Oryzias latipes: one gene and its partners. The protein of the gene in region 2 interacts with the protein of the main gene of each other region in a biochemical or structural test. Links are inferred from orthologs where the notes say so. Each region holds a gene or a part of one and is shown on either strand. Other genes may lie near its edges. The genes, in order: beta-2 adrenergic receptor; membrane-associated guanylate kinase, WW and PDZ domain-containing protein 3; adrb1.

Region 1 (6,282 bases), on a different chromosome or scaffold from region 2:
GTACATTTACTTTGCTGTAAATCCGCAAAGAAGAAAAACAGAAAAAGATCAGCACACTGGAAAGCTTGTTTTTCACATGGCAAACATTGACGTATGATGACACTGTGTTTACGTCGACTCCTAAGGTCTGTGATAACAGCGCTCACCAAACCGTGCGATACAGTACATAAGAGGTTTCCTCTGGAGGAACAAAGTTCACAGCTTTGAAAGTGTCAGCAAATCTAACCCCGGTCAGAGGCGATGCTACATGCACAAAAATACAAGTCACTAACACAGATTTAGCCTGGCAGAGTCCCTGGTCCCCCTCCTGTCTTAGGAGCTACATTTAGTGTTCAGTCCCTTTGACAAGATCATACTTCTGCCAAACTCACTAAGGAAAGGTGCTGCAGCTACATCAACACTTTCCTTTACTCTTAATAGGCTTGCAATCGTGCCCTTTGTGCTAAGTGCTTATTGTCCACGATAGTCTTCCTTGAAGTTTTAAAGTGAATGACAAGAAAGAAAATCATTTTAGGTTGGTCCTCTGGATCCCTTTTATGATGATTCTTCAGCTAAACAGGAGATGTGTTTGTGTTTATTGGATCAGGGCTCAGCTGCCTTTTCTCCAGGCTGCACATTAAGGGGCATTTAAATAAGACTGACCAAAACTGACTGAAACGACTGAAGCCGAGGCACGTTTTTGCAGGCTCCCGTGTCTCTTGTCCAAATGGCACAATGATTACACACACAAGAAAAGAGATAGCCAGATAAAAACAATGAGTGTACTGAATACAAGCTTTGGATTTTTTCTTTTTTCTGTCTGGTTGCTGACTTCACCGTTATGGCTTGGTGCTAGAACTTTGTCATTTGGCTGCATTCACACCCTGTTTATGATTACGTGTTGTCTGTACCCTTGCACTATGAGGAAACAGCTTCTCTGGTTGCGGTAAACTGTGCACATACTGAAACATGGCAACTGCAAAATCTGATAAACAAACAAGGCTCATGCAGCTATGGGTCAACTATGGTTCAAATTTGTCGCACAGAAGAAAAAGAATCGTCGTTCTCACTGTTATTTGTAACAAAAAAGTGGTTTTAGATTTGCAACAAGTGGAAAATAGACATAGTTCAGGTATATGTAACAAGCCAAAAGAAATGTTTGAATTTATGAAAACGGTGAGCATTTCAGCCCAAGTTTTATATTATTGCACTTAGCGTTCCTCCCAAAAATTATAGGTATTTTACGGTTCGTTATCTGATAAAACAAGCTTTGATGTTTTATGATGGCATTAACCCAACAGCTACAGGCGTTCCTTAGGCTCAGCATTAGGATCTAGATTAGCCAGCCATATCTCTTGTGCTTTCTGCTGACAACATAAACTCCTTTAAACACAGTCTTGCACAGTAGAGCAGGACTGAGACGTGTTTTGCCTCACGCGTAGCCAATATAGCTCCCTGAAAAAAAGATTACAACTTAATAGATTCCTCAAGTGTTGTCGGAATGTAATTTTTGATGCAAAGACCAAGACTGGTTCAAAAATCCATTCTTTGCATTGGAAGAAAAATCGCATGGAAAATCTCAAATACAGTTTTATACCATACAAAAAACTGTGGCTTCCCTCCTCAAGAAAGAGCAAAAAATAAATAAAGCATGCCCTAAGGTTTTGGATGAAGCCTTATAATCTGCAAATGTACTATTCACACGCCATTTATTAGGCTCAACACACAGCTGAGACATCGCTCTCGTTTAACTCCAAAGGTAAGAATGTAAGCCGGTAAAGAAACTAACACTGTAAAGCCGTTAGGGAGGTAGATGTAGTCATCATGTAATAAAAAAAATACATTACAATATGTAGTCACTATGTTTAACTTAAAAAAAATGTTCCTCAGCTTGATGTGATCGTTGCAGGTTCTCTGAAACACTTTTGAAACACTGCCAGCCACTTTGACTGGCCTTACCTTAATCAGCGATTGAGAGAAAAGCCCTAAATGTTCATAAGTGTATAGGCTTTCATCTTTCTCTGTTGACTGAAGGGTCGGTGGTCCGTGCTTAAAGGGCAGTTGTGACAGTCGTTATACCTTTGTTGCAGTTTCCATTGGGGTCTATGGCTCTGTCCACACCACTGCCCACCCCTGCACCTTTTATCAGACAAGCCTCATTGGCATCACTGTCCTCCGAGTTGCACTTGCTCCTCCCTTGCTGCTCACTCTGCCAGCTGTGCCTGCTGTAGATGTATCCATTTGTTTGGCCTTGGTGGCTCAGATGGTTCCTCCTGATGCACAGGAGTTCCTTGAAAGCGTACCTGAACTCAGGACTCCGGCAGTAAATGACAGGGTTGAACATAGAGTTTGAATAGCCTATCCAGTTCAGAATCATAAATACGCTATAGTTGTTCACGTTCCATATGGACGCGATTACATTAAGGATGAAGAATGGTAGCCAGCAAAGAGTAAAGGTCCCCATTATGATACCCAAAGTTTTCAGGGCTTTGTGTTCACGCAAGTAAAACTTTGCCTTCTTTTGTCCACGGCCATTCTTGTCCTCCGAAGAATCTACATGAAAGCGTCCAACGCTTTGGTTAATCTTTTTTAGCTGCCTTTTGGCCGCCAGGAAAACACGGCTGTAGACAAAAACCATGATGATCAAAGGGATGTAGAAGGAGATGATGGAGGAGGTGATTCCATATTGTATGTTTGTGTGAAACTGGCAGCAGTCTGTTTTATTAAGACATTTCTCAGCTTCCGATGTATTGGATCTCCACACGTTCATATGAATGGGCGGGTAGGATGTCAAAGCAGCAATCACCCATATAAAGATGACCACAATTCGAGCTCTGCACTTTGTCAATAGTGACTGGTAGCGGAAGGGTGCAGTAATGGCCACGTAACGGTCAATAGCGATGACACAAAGGGTCCCGATGCTTGCAGTCACGCAGAGGACATCTGTGGCAGTCCAGAAGTCGCACCAGAATTTACCAAAGTGCCATTTAACGAAGATGATGTTTAAAGCACCAAAGGGAACCACAATGAGACCCATGACCAGGTCTGCACACGCCAGAGATGTGACGAAGCAGTTGGTGACAGTTTGGAGACGCTGAAAGCGAGCGATTGCTGTTATGACCAGGATGTTTCCAAAGACAATGCACAGCACCAGAAAAGACATTCCGATGCCCATCAGGATCATAGCCGTCTCACTGTGGCCTGTCTCGTTGAGGCCCATCTCGTTGTGGCCCGTCTCGTTGTTGGACAATGACGTAGTGCTCACATTCGAGTAGACTGGAGAGACTGTAACTCCCATCTGAAGAAATCACATGCAGAAAATCATCAGACACAGTAAAAAGAGGGGAAGTGCACAATTCAAACATGTATCTAACTTATGGGAACTAAATAAATGCAGCAATAATAAAGTTTAAAACATGAATGTTTGTATCTGAAACAAAAAAACAAGCAAAGCAACAAAAGATTAAAAAAAACACAGCAGAGGCACCAGCCATAACGACCTTTTTGGCTCCATGCTTTAAAAACAAGTTGAGTCAAGAAAGAGCAAAAATACCAACCTCGACAGGTCGTTGTTTTGCTCCCAGCCTCCCATAAAAATGTCAGAATGTCAGTGTTGAAATACTTCCTGTAAGACTGGCAAGGCTCACATGCCCCTGTACTTTTTGTTCGGGTTGAGCTCCAGTTGTCTCTCTACCAAGTCGTTCCGTTGAGCAGTGTTTCCTCTGATGTGTCTCAGAGTCCTTATAGCATGCAATGGTGACATCACAGTCAGAGCTCAGCCAATCAGCGCACTAGCCTGTGGAGGGTGCTGAGCGCTCACAGGAGTTTGAACACACTGTCCCAACAGCTGCTGCTGCAGGGCTGCATGAGACATACGGCAGCCAACACAGGCAAACATTTACATATTTAAAAAACCTGCAAATTTGTACTGAAATCTACGAGCTGTATTTCAGCTCGAGTCATAAAGTCTACTTCCTGTTATGCTATGTTCCTGTATGAGTTTACAGCTTCATGCTTGTGAATCTGTATCCAATTAAAACTAGTTAAAGCATTTTTTGAGCATTTGTAAGATCAGGCTGGATTCACAAGTGATCCAACTGGCAAGTGTAGCTCAGTGAATTTTGTCAAGATCTATTGAGTGGTTGGATTGGAGCTTTAACACACTTCTTGTCCTGACAAAACCTTTGAGTTTTGTAGGCTGCTCTTTTATATAAAAATCAGGACCTTCGCCAATACAAGAACATATGCTTACATTTTAACATCCAAAGGTCAAACTGTAAAAATGACCTCAGTGTTTTGGTACGTAAAAGGCGCAGTGATCTTCACAGCAAGAGCTAAAAGAAAGCCTTTGAGGATCAAGAACAAATTTGCACTTTTATGACCACATTTATTCCATACATGTGATCTATGCAAACTAAACCTCATTTATTCAAATTTCAACAATGCAATGATAGTTCTGCTTGGTTTGTGAATGCGTAAAAACACTTCACGGAAAGTCTTCAATGCTTATTGAATTCTTTTAAGTTAATATATCTCTTTTTAAAAATGATTCTGTAATAAAATGATCCAATACCCTCAATCCTAACCCTTTAACCTAATCTTTTGTGACACTTTTGTACTTCAGCCTTTTTTTAAAGTATTTTTTCTCGAAGGTGTATTAAATGTGCAAGTATCAATAAACGTGCACATTTTATTTATCCTTTTAGGTTACAGGTCTTAAAAGGTTTACAAACTACAGAAAAAGAAAACAACAAAGATTTTTGCAAATGTTTGAGACTGTTGTAATGTGTTTTTTACCGCTGATTTTTTGCTTAAAGATCACAAAGATTTTTGCTCAATTGCGCAAAATCTTGAATTGCATAATTTTCTTCTACGCACATTAGATAGATTAGAGCGTACGTGGTTTGGAAAAAATCCAAAGACAGTTCCACTCCTGAGATTAAATAGAGGATGCTTGACGTTTTTTGGATTATATACCTGCATTAACACCAACCATAGAAACCAAAACCTGGTGTTTCGTGGTGGATTTTCAAGGCATGACAAGATTAAAGATAAGAGATGCCATATGTCTGAGCCCTCATTTAGAAGAAATCCTTCATGGGAATACACTTTGACATTTATCAAGGTGTTTCATCTTTTTACAGTCACAAGGTGAACAATGAGATGACGTAAATGTGTGACCTAAATTACCATTGGCAAAGTGACCATTCTTATGGCATGGTCATCTTGCCTGTTTGTTAGTATATAGAAGAAATAAAGGAGCACTGTTATTTATTGGGTCAGGCTGAAATTCAGGCCATGTTCAGGATGCAAAACAAATCCACATTTGCACATCTCTTTCAACAAAATAAAAAAAATGTAGATCATTTGGTATTTTCAAAACTGCTTTTCTTTAAAGATTTGGTAAAAAAGGGCAACCTGCAGTTTTTTTGTTGATGTCATCATGAAATGAGTTATAACCATTGACTGTAAAAGAAAACTGCACCGGGCCAGTGTGACGTCATTCCTAGTAAATGGCTTACTTCGGCTCCAACCAAATGAAGTCACCATTTTTTTGCAAAACGAGACAACGTCAATAAGCAGCAATGGGTCCAAGTATGTCTGAATCATTGTTTCTATGGCAACCACTCTCATCAATCAGGACTAAACTTGCTGGAAGTCCAAAAGTAAACTTTGGGAGAATCTGTCAAACATTTTTAAATGTTCAATGTGGGGGCCAGAAGGCACTGCATACATTAATTGAAGCATCTGATTGGACAGTTTTTAACATGTACAACTTGCAATAAAGAAAAGGTTTCATGAAAAAAAAAACGGATTTGCAAAAATGTGTAAAAAAAAAGTTTTCAAAGAAAAATGATTATTTTGTCATATATAATAACTGTATGAAATCTGTTCATTTTGCAATAAAAGTCTGGAATTCTGGCTTCTTGAAACCAGTGGGTAATTCCTGTTTGGAAACTGAGGAGGGAGGAGTCTGATTTGAGCAGAGACCAGCTAGGGCAACATAAAGCAGAGGGATGAGAGCTGACTTGCTGTTCTCCATGTTGGCCACATGTTCAAAGGACTAAATAACTAAGCAGGTTTTCTTCCAATTGGACAATAGTTAGCAGCCTTATTTACATGGACTAAGTAAAGTGAGAGCTACTCTCCATCCACTGGAACAAAGGATAACCATTTAAAACTAATACAGCAATAGTATAGCTGCTCAAAAGTAGACGCTGCCTCAATGTAGTTGCCCTCAGATCTAACAAATATAAAATTCTTGCTAGCTGTGCAAACATTTTTAATTGATTAACTATAGCA
Region 2 (5,617 bases):
ATAAAAAGCTGCCACAAACTAAAACCCTTTTAAGCTGAGCCAAACCGTGTTGGAACATTCCAATTCTAGGGGTCATTGACTTAAAACCTTGAACTCTTTACTTAATGGGTATAAGGGCAGTTTGGGTTGATTATTTTAAAAAGTTCTACAAAATCGGCGGTAACACGAGGTGATGCTTTGCTAAAGGTCAGATGTTTGAACTTTGGAAACGACAATGCACCGCTCACAGAAAATATTGACGCATGTCAAAACTGCACCGTGCTACCAAAACGTGATGCTAAAAGTAAGGCGGAAATGCTGCCCCGCCCAAAACGTGGATGCCATTAGAGAGTTGTACCGCCTTTCCTGCTCAAAATGCACCACAGGAAGTCTTATTGTGTCTGTACTTTGACTTAATATTAAAACCCAGTCCACGTTCAGGGTAAGTGGTAGCATTAAAGAACACAACTAGCTAGTCTTCTGACCATTTATTATAGATGACTGCTTTCACTGCAATAACTGTTGAAACTTTTCCCAAATGTGGCTTTTTATATTTGTTTTTTTGCACTCCTAACTGAATAGTGTTCAGTCATTGATTTCACTTTCTTTGGTTTGTCAACTATTCTGTCAGCATTCACACTGTAGCTGAGCCGCACCAGGGTTCATTTGCAAGCTAGCAAATCCTTCGTGGCTTGTTTGGTCCATTTCAGAAGAGCTTTCACACTCGTCACAAACGATCAAAGCAAACAAACTCACGTGTGGACCAAACAGTACTGTGAAAGCTTCAAAACATCTCAAACCCAATAGTCTGAAATATCAGAGAAACGGGCACTGCAGGTGAAAACACTCACAGGCTGATCCGGGCCCTCGCCTCCCAGAACCCTGAAGCCGAAACCAGACTCCTGGTTCCTTTTTATAAACACATCCAGCTCTTTTGTGTTTGGTGCTGCAAAAAGCAAGAAAAGAGTTTAAATGAATACAAAAGTATAAATATTTGACGGTGTCATTTTATTTAAGGTGGGAGTTATGAGATATCTTGTTGATACGCCACCCTCCACTCAGTCAGGGCCAGCAGTCCTAAAGCTGTGACCTCTGTGACCTTCACCAGAGTGAACAGGTCTGAGTAAAACTTTACGCTAAAACTGGAATTATCTTCCACATAATATACACGTAGCTCCAAATCTTCTTTAAGGTTATGACATCTTCAAGGTCACGGCGTCTAGATCATGAGGGTTTCCTGTTGTTTAGTTTCTGTCTTTTTGTTTTGTGTTGGTCCTCCTCTCCCATCTGTGTGTATCCTGAACTTTACTGCTTGTAGTTTGATTCCTTTAAAGAGCTTCTGCAGTGTTTAAGTATGGATTTAAAACAAAAAACATTCACTTAAAAAGAAATCCTATGTTTTCCATTGGTTTATCGGGTATGTTGGTTTTCTTGTACTTATGTTGAAACACTTAACTGGTTTCAGTTTTAAATTAACATGAAACTGAACCTCGTATAAATACAAGACAGGGACTACTGAAAGTAGATCTATAATTCTGATCACTGTTTCAGAAATGTCTGGAGTTTGGGCTCAGATCCCGTCAAAGGAAGCTGTTAAAAGTGAAAGTTTTGACTTACGCTTGCTGTCCAGGATGGCTTTGGACCTGAGGTAGAGCTCGGAGGCGTCTGGTTTGGGCGAAGATGAGCGCAAGGTGCCGCTGGAGACGGGGAGAGAGTTGGGAGTCACGTCGGACTGAGTGAGGGTCTCAGTGCTGCTGATCATCTCCTGCTGCTGCTGCTGGAGGTGGTGGTGTGAGGGTGGGTGGGGTAGCTGCTGGGGAACAGGAAGCGGCGCTTGTTCAAGGACAGGCTGCGAAACGGTGTGGGACACGGGCGCTGTGACCTGCAGCACGGAAACAGGCGGAAAACGAATGAGCCCAGGTGGACGGGAGTTATCTGTTATTTCAGCTTTTTTCCTTAACTGCAAGGTGGTCGATGGAGCATTTTTTAAGGCACATTTAAATTCACTGAAAATAGCAGGCCGACGCAAACAAAGCCGAGGCTGTTTCTGTTCCTGCCCCAGCTCGTTTTTATGTTTTTCTAAGCGCGGTAATGAGAAGCAGCACGGGGACTCTTGAATGCGGCGTATCATCTTACACAGCAAACGCAGAGGGACCTTAAGGTGCTGCCTGCACAAAGCCAACATGTTTACCCACATGCACTGCCTAAAATAACAATCTGGTAGACGTGGGCTCCCTGAGTAATGCAGCTGCTCAAACACAGAGAAAGCCGCGATCCCACACAAACCTTTAGAAAAGAAACATCAGCATTCTCTTTTTTCATGTTCTTTTCTTGCTACGTTTTGGACAAACTGTCTAAATCCAAAATTGTTGTCTGAGTTTTTACTGCAGTTTCTCCTCAGTTTTGTTATAAAATGACCTCGGCTTTGTTTGGCTTTTTTTTTTTTAAAGGGCACTTTGAGCAGATATCAGAAAGTCCTAGAAGCTAAACAGGCCACATGGGGGCAGTAGAGCTACACACAGCTGGCTGGATTGGCTGTAGTGAAATTCGTAAATGTCCCCACCGTACTGCTTAGGAGAAGTGAGAGTGGATCCATCAAGTTTCCTAGGAGGTTTGTTATTTACACAGGACTGCAGTGGATACAGTTTATTTTCTCCAGGCAGCTGTTTTTGTGCTTCTTAACATAGTATATCTTTCATCATATAAAAATTTGCAGTAAACCCTTAACCCTTGTGCTTTCCTATGATCCCACCCTTGCATTGACGTGTTCTTCCTACCATGACAAAGGTGGATAAAGGTGGAAAGATTTCATGTAATCCATGGACACCAGTGAAGATCACAAATCATTGAAGAAAAAAGGTTCAGAGCACTGTCTAGTGGGTCTAGATGACCCAACTGCCAATGTTAAAGTGCCTAGGATAGCACAAGGGCTAAATGAGGACATTTTTGGTCAAAAGGGTGCTTCAAAACATAAAAAATAATGTTGGCTTTGCACATTTGTGCTAAATGTGCGATTTGTTTGGTTTTTACACTGTTCTACCTGTACCTTAAAACAAAGTCAAAACAAACACTTCAATAAAAAACACTGAGTCATGACGTTCCAGAGAAACCGTTTTGTGCAAAAACATATTTTTAAAACACAAAACCATATCTGAAGAAAAAAATCTAAAAATCTATTCTGAGAGATGAAAGTTTAACTTACAGGTTTTAGTGATTTCACAGGAGATGTCTGACCTGTAAACAGAGGAGAAAGTGAGGGTTTTTATCAACAAAAACATGAATATTGCCCCAATAAAACAACAACAAATAAAACATTAGTACTATTGAGTTTTTTTTTATATTTAGAAAATATAGTGCACACATAGCAGTATTAATGCTTCTGGGGAGAAAGTAGTACAAAACTGTTACTTTTGAGGGGAAATTGCACAAATAATTTAGAAAAAGGGTTTAAGTCCACCAGCAGAGGGCAGTATGCTCTTATGTCCACTACCAAAGATGTAATTAGAAGATGAGAGACAGGAGTAACCTTAAGGTGCTGGAAAACATACAATTTTCTGGGATTAACCTGACAGCTGTTTGCAGCCCCAACAACAGAAAGAAGACACTTTTAAATCTGCATTAAAGGCCACAAGACTTCACTGCCTGCTATATTTTAGACCCACAAGGCAGCGGTACATACGTCATACCCCTAATCTCAGCCTGTAGGAAACTTTCAGAAAGATCTCCAGTGTGGTTTTCTCTTTTAGCCCTGGAAAACCTCTGCTTTTCTTTTCGGAAGTGACACGCTCAATCAGCATACGTGTGACCAATCGGGGGCCGCCACATACAGCAAAAGCCGAGGCCCCCGGAGTTAAGCGGAGAAGCCGGATCACTACCTTTGATATGTGGGTACAGCACTGATCTCCTGAATCTAGGCTACTGCACTGCAGCAAAGTCAAAAGAAGGAACAAGCTCTTCAAATCTCTGAAAGCACAGAGGAAGAAAGGCAGGCGGCGATAACCCACCACGCTCTGCCTCCCCTGCCCTCCTTCCTTCTCTTTTTTTTTTTAACGGCAGCAAGTGAATTGCAACCTTTTTTTCCACCTTCTGTGCACGGATCAACGTGCGAGTCCTCCCAGTTGTGGAGGATGTGGAGGTGGACAAAAGCAGGATGTAAAATAAGATTTATTTAGCATTGGAGGAGTTTGTGCACCCCGACAATGAGAACAGAATTCCACCGAAATGCATTTTCTCCTTCTCTGGAGGCTTTTGATAAACAAGAAAATGACGACAGGTGACTAAAACCTCGGCGGGGATTTAAAGGATTGCGCCGCACAGGAATAAAACCGATTATCCCAGAAAAGTCGGTAGATTATCAGAGATGGCATTGTTTAAACAACACGCCAGAACACCAGGACTCAACATTCACCACCTGTCAGATGCTCTGAAGATTAGTTGGGGATTATTTGCAGCAGCAGTGTGACCTGGGATCCCTCACCTCCTCTGAGCACCAACACGCTGACCTCGCTGCCCACGGCTAGGTCTTTCAGGATGTCCACCACCTGGGAATGACTCAAGGTTTGAACATTTTGTCTGTTGATTTCCTTGATGACGTCGCCCTTCAACAGGCCGCGGCACCACTGTGCATCCAGGATCATCTTCACCTTCTGTCCGAGGGGGCAGTCTGCGATGGCGAAGCCAAAGCCCCCTGGACCTTTCACCAGCGGAACGCTCACTAGCTCTGGCTGCAAAAGAGTCGGGTCAGGAGCGTCTTGGGCTTGAGGGAGGTGTTGATGGACGGGGTGAGGTTGGTTGAGACGTCCGTTGCTGATGGGCGGCACAGAGGCAACCTGCCGAGAGACATTCGCCCCGTCTGGGATCGTGTAGTGGGGATCCTGCGGAGTGGAGGTGGACGGAGGCAGAGAGGTGTCCGTGGAAGACGCGGCGCCACCTGCTGACTCCTCGTTACTGCCGGAGTCCTCGGGCAGTGGGTAGCCCCGGCACAGGACCATGTCCACGTACTGGTTGACTGGGATGGACTGAAACATCTGCACCACGTCGGCGTGAGTCTTCCCCAACACGCAGGCCTCGTTAATCTCCACAATCACATCACCTAACGGAAAAGGACAGAATGTAAACAAGAGCATCTCCCCTCCATAAGGGTAGAGCGTTGCACCCCTGGTTGGTTGAATTGCGTGGTATATGGACGATCGGAAAAAGATTATTCCGACCCGCCGACACAATCAATACCCTTCTCAGAAAACACAGCCACGGTTTCTCTCTTCCGCTCAACTCCTTAAAAAAATGCACTGGCTCCCACCCAAACGTACCCCGATGCCTCATCTAACAACCCCCAAAATGGCAACTGTAGCATATATCTCCAGATTGTTGAGGCAGTTCAGTGTTGGCAGGAATAAACCCTGATGTGGCAGAAAAAGCAGTTCCAGGCTACTGCTCGTTGTTAAAACCCAATGAAACTAATTACATTCATCTTTTTGGCACAGTCAATTACCCTCCTTCTCCAGGGAGAGTTAAACATTAAAAATAATTACTCTCTCTGTTCCGATTTCACGCCGACTCTTGCCAGCTGCGGCGCTGGGGCTCCCAGGCATCAGTGCAACCAGAATCGTGGGGTTATCATGTCCAACCCACAAAAGAC
Region 3 (6,056 bases), on a different chromosome or scaffold from region 2:
GTGAAGATCACAAATCATTGAAGAAAAAAGGTTCAGAGCACTGTCTAGTGGGTCTAGATGACCCAACTCCCAACATTAAAGTGTCTAGGATAGCACAAGGGTTAATCAAACACACGACACGTGACAGCAAAATATCAGATCCGACATGGATCAGCCAAAAATCACTGAACTAATCGAGAACTGACACCCCAGAATCAGCCCGAGTACCTTCCCCAAGTCCATGAGATGAAACCTAATTAGCTATTCATCATGTCTAAATTCAGGTCACACAGAGCCGGTCTAAATACAGCAGAAGGAAGAACTAACACAGAAATCGCTTCGAAATGTGGCAGCCACAACTGGACCAAAGGGACTGCTGCCCTTTAAGAAGGTTTGAGCAGGAATGCAGTTGAGAGGGAACACACGTCCCCTTAAAACACGCCAGTTCACCCACCTGGAACTGCAGCATTGTTACCAAATGACTTCTTTGTTTGCAGGAGCGCAAATTAGTCCATTAAAATTCCTGGCTTTTGAGTCTGTAATGCTGTGGAAAATCCTCCAAACGATGTAAAAAATGCTCAAGTTAACTGTGTGAGGTTGAAATGTAATGCTGCGTTTGATGGAGACTTGAGCAAACAAGCAGAGAATACTAAACCTTTCTTTTTCATTTCATGCAAAGATTTTAACTCATTATCTTTCAGTTCCGCCTAAAACCTTGCTGATAGTGATGCATTTTCCCCCACTTTTTGCACGTAGTGTGCAGAATATCCCAGAATTTACAGTCTGAACAAATTTCACAAGTATGCACAAAAGCATAGAACAAAATCAGCAAAATTAACATTAAATATCCTCTTGCAGAAAATGAACATGCCCCCCCCAAAGCCTTGTTAGTAATTAGGCTATTTAAAAAACTACATGATTAAATTACAATTTAAATTTTAAAATTCTCCTTAACTAAATAAAAAAAATCTTTATATAATAATTGATTTTTACAGAGTTGTTTTTTGTTTAAAGTGGCTCAAACTTGAAAACTTTAGAATTTTCTTTTAAAAATCGACAATTCTGAAGCAGAAACAACAAGAAAAAAGCAAGGTAGAGCTAAGAAATAATCAAAATCTTTTAAATCCAAAGTGTAAAATATGTAAATCAGCTGTTTGGATAGGATCAGGACTGAGTACATCAGGAGTCCTGGAGATAAAGTTAGACTGAGATGATTTGCATGTCCAGAGGAGACAGAAAGAGTCTAGAGCTGCCAGGCAAGAGGTCTAGAAGAAGACCAAGGAGGAGGTTTATGGATGCAGTGAACAAAGACGTAAAGGTAGCTGGTATTAAAGGTGAGGGTGCAGAAGACAGGGTTAGATGGAGAAAGCTGATTGGCTGTGGGAATCCCTGTAGGGAAAAGCCGAAAGGAAAAGAAGAAAAAGCTGTTTGCTAATTGATTGACCCTGATCCAGCAGTCCTAATCCACGCATTGAAAGCATCACCTGATGCCATATACATTTCAAATAAAATACCTCTTCTATTCTTACTTTGTAGCTGATGAAAAAGGAAAATATTCAAAAATATGTGGAGAAGTTTAGTGTCATTGCTCCCTGGAAGGAAATAAAAGCTCCAACATTTAAGAATGAAACCATCTTTTATTTTCACAGAAGCACCACCTCATAACAGCATTTAAAATAAGAGAGACAGACAGTCAGAGAGGCCCAGTTTCCTCCCTTTAGTGCTTAACACTTCATTATATACAATCACCTGTCCTTCATTTCCCAGCTGAAAAAGACAGAGTAAATGCAGAGCTATTTTACATCATGTTTAATATAAACAACAACATGTCATACAAATTGCACTTGTCTTTGCTGTGAGGTAAAACACATTGTAAGAGGAATTGAACACTTGGACAAAAGGTTTTTGCTCATGAAAAGTGCGCATCAGCCGCCATTTACAGATGAACTGTTGTACTTCGTTAAGGTGGAGCAATATTTTTTTTTCTCCCCTTCTCCAGAGAGGAGAGAAGAAAGTTATCCCACGGATTTATGATGAAACATTTTCTGCTTAGGTGTTCGTTCTTCCTCCATGAAAGGAAGATTTGCGTTTTAATTAGTCAAAGTGCAGATTTATATAAAATAAATCGTTATCCGTCGGCATTGTGAATTGATTCAGATGGGAAATTGCAATAAAAAAATTCTAGCTAATTTGGAGGATGACTTTTACGCACAGCTTTTGAGAAAGAAGGATCATCAAGTTATTTCTGTTTTGTTTTTGAGTTTCCCATAAGAGTGCATTAATCCACCTCACAGCTGGGATTCAGATCGCGGCAGCTTCGTCCCCACCAGGATGCTGTCGCTGCTGTCCAACACGGCGCAGTCGGACCACATCTCCAGCGTGCCAGGCTCCAGCGCTGACACGAACCCGCCGGAGCAGCGCGTCAGGTCGCAGGAGCTGATGTGCAGCCTGCGATCGGCTTGCCTCGGGCAGCACAGCAGCCTCTTAAAAGCCTTCCTGAAGTCCGGACTCCGGCAGTAAATAATTGGGTTAAAGGCAGAGTTCACGTAACCCAGCCAGTTCAGGAACACGAAGACGTTCTTGTCCACAAGCTCTGCGCAAAATACGCGCACAACGTTGACTATGAAGAAGGGCAGCCAGCACAGAGTGAACGTCCCCATGATGATTCCCAGAGTTTTCAGCGCCTTTTGCTCCCTGAGCGCCAAGATCTTTGAAGGTCTCTTCTTGCACTTGGAGGTCAGCCCTGTCAGGGTGTTGTGAAACCTGCCCTCACACTTGTCGATCTTTTTGAGCTGCTTTTTCGCTTCTCTGTACACGCGTGCGTAAACAAAAATCATCACCACGAGAGGAATGTAGAAGGAGATAACGGAGGAGGAGATGGCATATGCCCTGTTGGTGACAAAGTCGCAGCATTGGGGGTTTTCGTAGCAGTCCGTGTCCATGCTGTCGCGGGACCAGTGCATCAGGATGGGGAGGAAGGAGACCAGCGCAGAGATGGCCCACACCACACACACCACCGCTTTGGCCCGACTTTTGGTTAACAAGCTTTGGTAGCGGAAAGGTGAAGTGATGGCCACGTACCTGTCTATGGCGATTACGCACAGGGTCTCTATGCTGGCGGTGACGCAGAGGACATCCACAGAGGTCCAGATCTCACAGAAAAAAGAGCCGTAAAGCCACAAGCCGCGCACCTCGAGCACAGCGCCAAACGGCACAACAAGTAAGCCCATGATGAGATCTGCACTGGCCAGCGATACGATGAACACATTGGTGAGGGTCTGCAGCCTCTGCGTCCTGGCTATGGCCAAGATCACCAGGATATTCCCAAAAACAATGGACAGCACAATCAAAGCCATCACCAGACTCATGCCTGCTGTCCACTGCTCGGACGCGGCTGGAACGGTGCCCTGCCCGTTGGACGCCTCGGTTCCAGTGCCGTTGTGGGGGGTCACTGGAGAGGACGCGCCGCCGTCCCCCATGGCGCGTTGCTGCGCTGCGTTTGACAGCAGGGTGAGTTCATTCAGGCAGCGCGCAGCAGCCGTTTCCTTCTGCTGCGCTCGACAGAGACGCAGCTCCAATCCCAGCGCGCGCAAACTCCATCTGGAGCTGCTTTCTTCTTCTGCGCTTGATGCCCCCCCAGCGGGGACTGAAACACGGGTGACATCATCAATCAGTGCGACCAATCAGGCAGTCCAGTGGAACAAAGGTCCCAGTGGATCAGAGGAGGCAACATCAACTTCGGCCTCTTTTTTGTATCATATTTCTGAAAATAAAACACCCTAAAACGCACCACTTTATGTTTGTTACTTACTAACACAAACTGTCCCTGTTTCCTGAAAAAAAAAATTCCAGCACTGTGGGAACACCAGGCCAAAAGTGAAAATCCAGAGGGATTTTCCCGCTTTCATCACCCTCCATGGCAAACCAGATTTGTTGTTCCACATTTATATTTTTACCTCCAGAAATGCTTCCCTTGAGATCGACTCCCACCTTATCAGAAGCCATAAAGCTACGCTGGGTTTGACTGGCAGTCAGAATTCCCAGATTCCTTGTCGACAACCTCTCTTCTCCTTGTCCACGGGCTGAGTGGTTCAAATGAACATGAAGAGCTCCAGATGGGAACTGACTGAACGGCAAGCGTTTAAAGTTTAAACACCAAAGAAGAAGCTGGATTTATTTCTGGACCACTCCTCATGACCTCTGTGACCCCTCGTCTGAAGCTGAAACATGACATCAACCATGAAGCAGTCTTAACATCCCTCAAGTGACCCTAAGATAGACAGACTGGTTGTTTTTGAGAAAATAAACCTGGGAAAGCTTATTTTTATCATATTTAAAGTGACCTCATTGCTGGAAAAGTACTTTCAATCTAAATCCACATTCAGGAGTCATGGGTTAGACCCCTTAAGCTCAGGGGCCAATTAGAGGCTTTCCTTGTTCTTTTGGATTAGTTTCACCTCAAGTGAATGGTTGGTTGGGAATCATAAACTCTCAAATTCTTCATTCAGCTCCAATAATAAACACCAAAATATATTTCTGAGGACCATTTTAGAATTTTCCTATTTTGGTCCAAAGAGAAGCGGCAAACGCAGGACTCTGTTCACAGTCCTCTGTCCACAGTCCTCTGTCCTCAGTCCTCTTAAGACAAATAGTCTTACGTTGAAAGCTTGTTGGTTAATTTAGTCAGGTTTGACAGATGACATTCATAAACAGAGCTATATCATTTTATTTAAGACTAAAAAACCCCAGTTCACATGTGGAATAATTGCAAGAAAGACATTAAAAATTGAAAATATAAAAAAGTTTTTAAAACAATTGTAAAAGGGTGATATACGCAATAGAAATAAAGGAATAAATAAGATTCATTGATATTTACTTTCTTCCTGAAAACCTTCTCTGTTTGTTTTCAGTCTCAACCTTTTGTAATATGCAAAAAATACAGTTTGTATAAATATAAACTTTAGAGACTGAATTCAGATCAAATTATTATTTATTTTAATTATTAATTATTTATTAAAATGTAATAAATAAAAAGAATCAAAAAAAACTTTTAGAGTCTTTGGTATGACTCGGCCTGGATTTGAACTCACAACCTTCCAACTGAAAAAAAAGGGGACTTTTAATGTTCATCCAAATCCCTTTTTACAAACTTTAAATATTGTCAATCATTGTTAAATTTCTGTTTATGCTGTTTAGGTTTTGTTTTATCAGCTGAAAATAAATACATAAAAAACATGATAGAAATGGTTCTCCAGCTATTTATGGTCAAAAACAGTTGACGTTAACAACAATACTTTTTATTATATTTATTGCACGCTGATTGTAAATGAACAACCACCATTTCGATCTTTTATGACAAAATCTTTAAAACTATCCGAACCAGAAGCCTATTATTTCTTCAAGTTATTAACCCTTTTTCCGCCACTGTTGAGGAAAACCTGAGGCTCCAGAGTCTCAGGTTGCAGACCCTGTCTATGGGGGAAACCTTTTTGTTTTTGTAACTGTACTCATTCAATTGTAAGAGCTAATTAAAAAATAAAAATTTAAAATTCATAGAAACAGCCTTAAAATTTAGTGTATGGGGGTTAGATTTTGATTCCCACATGTTTTCTTGTAAAGAAGAAATATGAACTGTGCAAAGATCTAAGCCAGAACTTTTTCTGCCAATTCCTTAGAAAATTTCTCTAAACCTTCATGCAGACCAGTTGCACAACAAAAGCACTACTCGAGGAATGCTGTAAGGAGGGATTTACAGGCTGCTAGTAAGGCTGAGTGCAAATGAACTCAGTGAGCAAAGAGGTCCATGAAACTGGGTCTGTTATAGCATCTCCTTGAGTCATATCGTATTGTTTTAAAAACTGCTAACTTAAGGAGTTTTAGGCAAAATGCCGACGTCAGTGGTCTGGGTGGGATATGCTGGGTAAGGATGCTTGAGGTGCATTCAGGGACAAGGCCAAATCTCAGGGAAATCTCTGCAAAAACAGTGCAAGTGTGCAGCATTTTAACAGTAAGGGTGGAGAAAGGTGAGTGCAGCCTTGACAAATGCATACATATATACTGTTTTTTAAAGTCAGCAG

The links.
Region 1: the proteins of membrane-associated guanylate kinase, WW and PDZ domain-containing protein 3 (region 2) and beta-2 adrenergic receptor form a complex in vitro, tested with the Homo sapiens proteins (2 studies listed by IntAct, with this or other methods). The link is inferred for Oryzias latipes from reciprocal best matches to the Homo sapiens genes MAGI3 and ADRB2.
Region 3: the proteins of membrane-associated guanylate kinase, WW and PDZ domain-containing protein 3 (region 2) and adrb1 interact in a test that uses a peptide from one of them, tested with the Homo sapiens proteins (2 studies listed by IntAct, with this or other methods). The link is inferred for Oryzias latipes from reciprocal best matches to the Homo sapiens genes MAGI3 and ADRB1.

The regions. Positions count from the first base shown.
Region 1 is NC_019868.2:20,752,214-20,758,495, reverse strand, and holds the start of beta-2 adrenergic receptor, read right to left. Parts: upstream 3,710-6,282; 5' UTR 3,537-3,709; intron 3,278-3,536; coding exon 2,030-3,277; 3' UTR 1-2,029. UniProt on the Homo sapiens protein: Beta-adrenergic receptors mediate the catecholamine-induced activation of adenylate cyclase through the action of G proteins. The beta-2-adrenergic receptor binds epinephrine with an approximately 30-fold greater affinity than it does norepinephrine.
Region 2 is NC_019865.2:23,163,286-23,168,902, forward strand, and holds part of membrane-associated guanylate kinase, WW and PDZ domain-containing protein 3, read right to left. Parts: intron 5,072-5,617; coding exon 4,457-5,071; intron 3,214-4,456; coding exon 3,182-3,213; intron 1,862-3,181; coding exon 1,597-1,861; intron 926-1,596; coding exon 831-925; intron 1-830.
Region 3 is NC_019877.2:5,428,374-5,434,429, reverse strand, and holds adrb1 (beta-1 adrenergic receptor), read right to left. Parts: upstream 4,125-6,056; 5' UTR 3,459-4,124; coding exon 2,268-3,458; 3' UTR 1,597-2,267; downstream 1-1,596. UniProt on the Homo sapiens protein: Beta-adrenergic receptors mediate the catecholamine-induced activation of adenylate cyclase through the action of G proteins. This receptor binds epinephrine and norepinephrine with approximately equal affinity.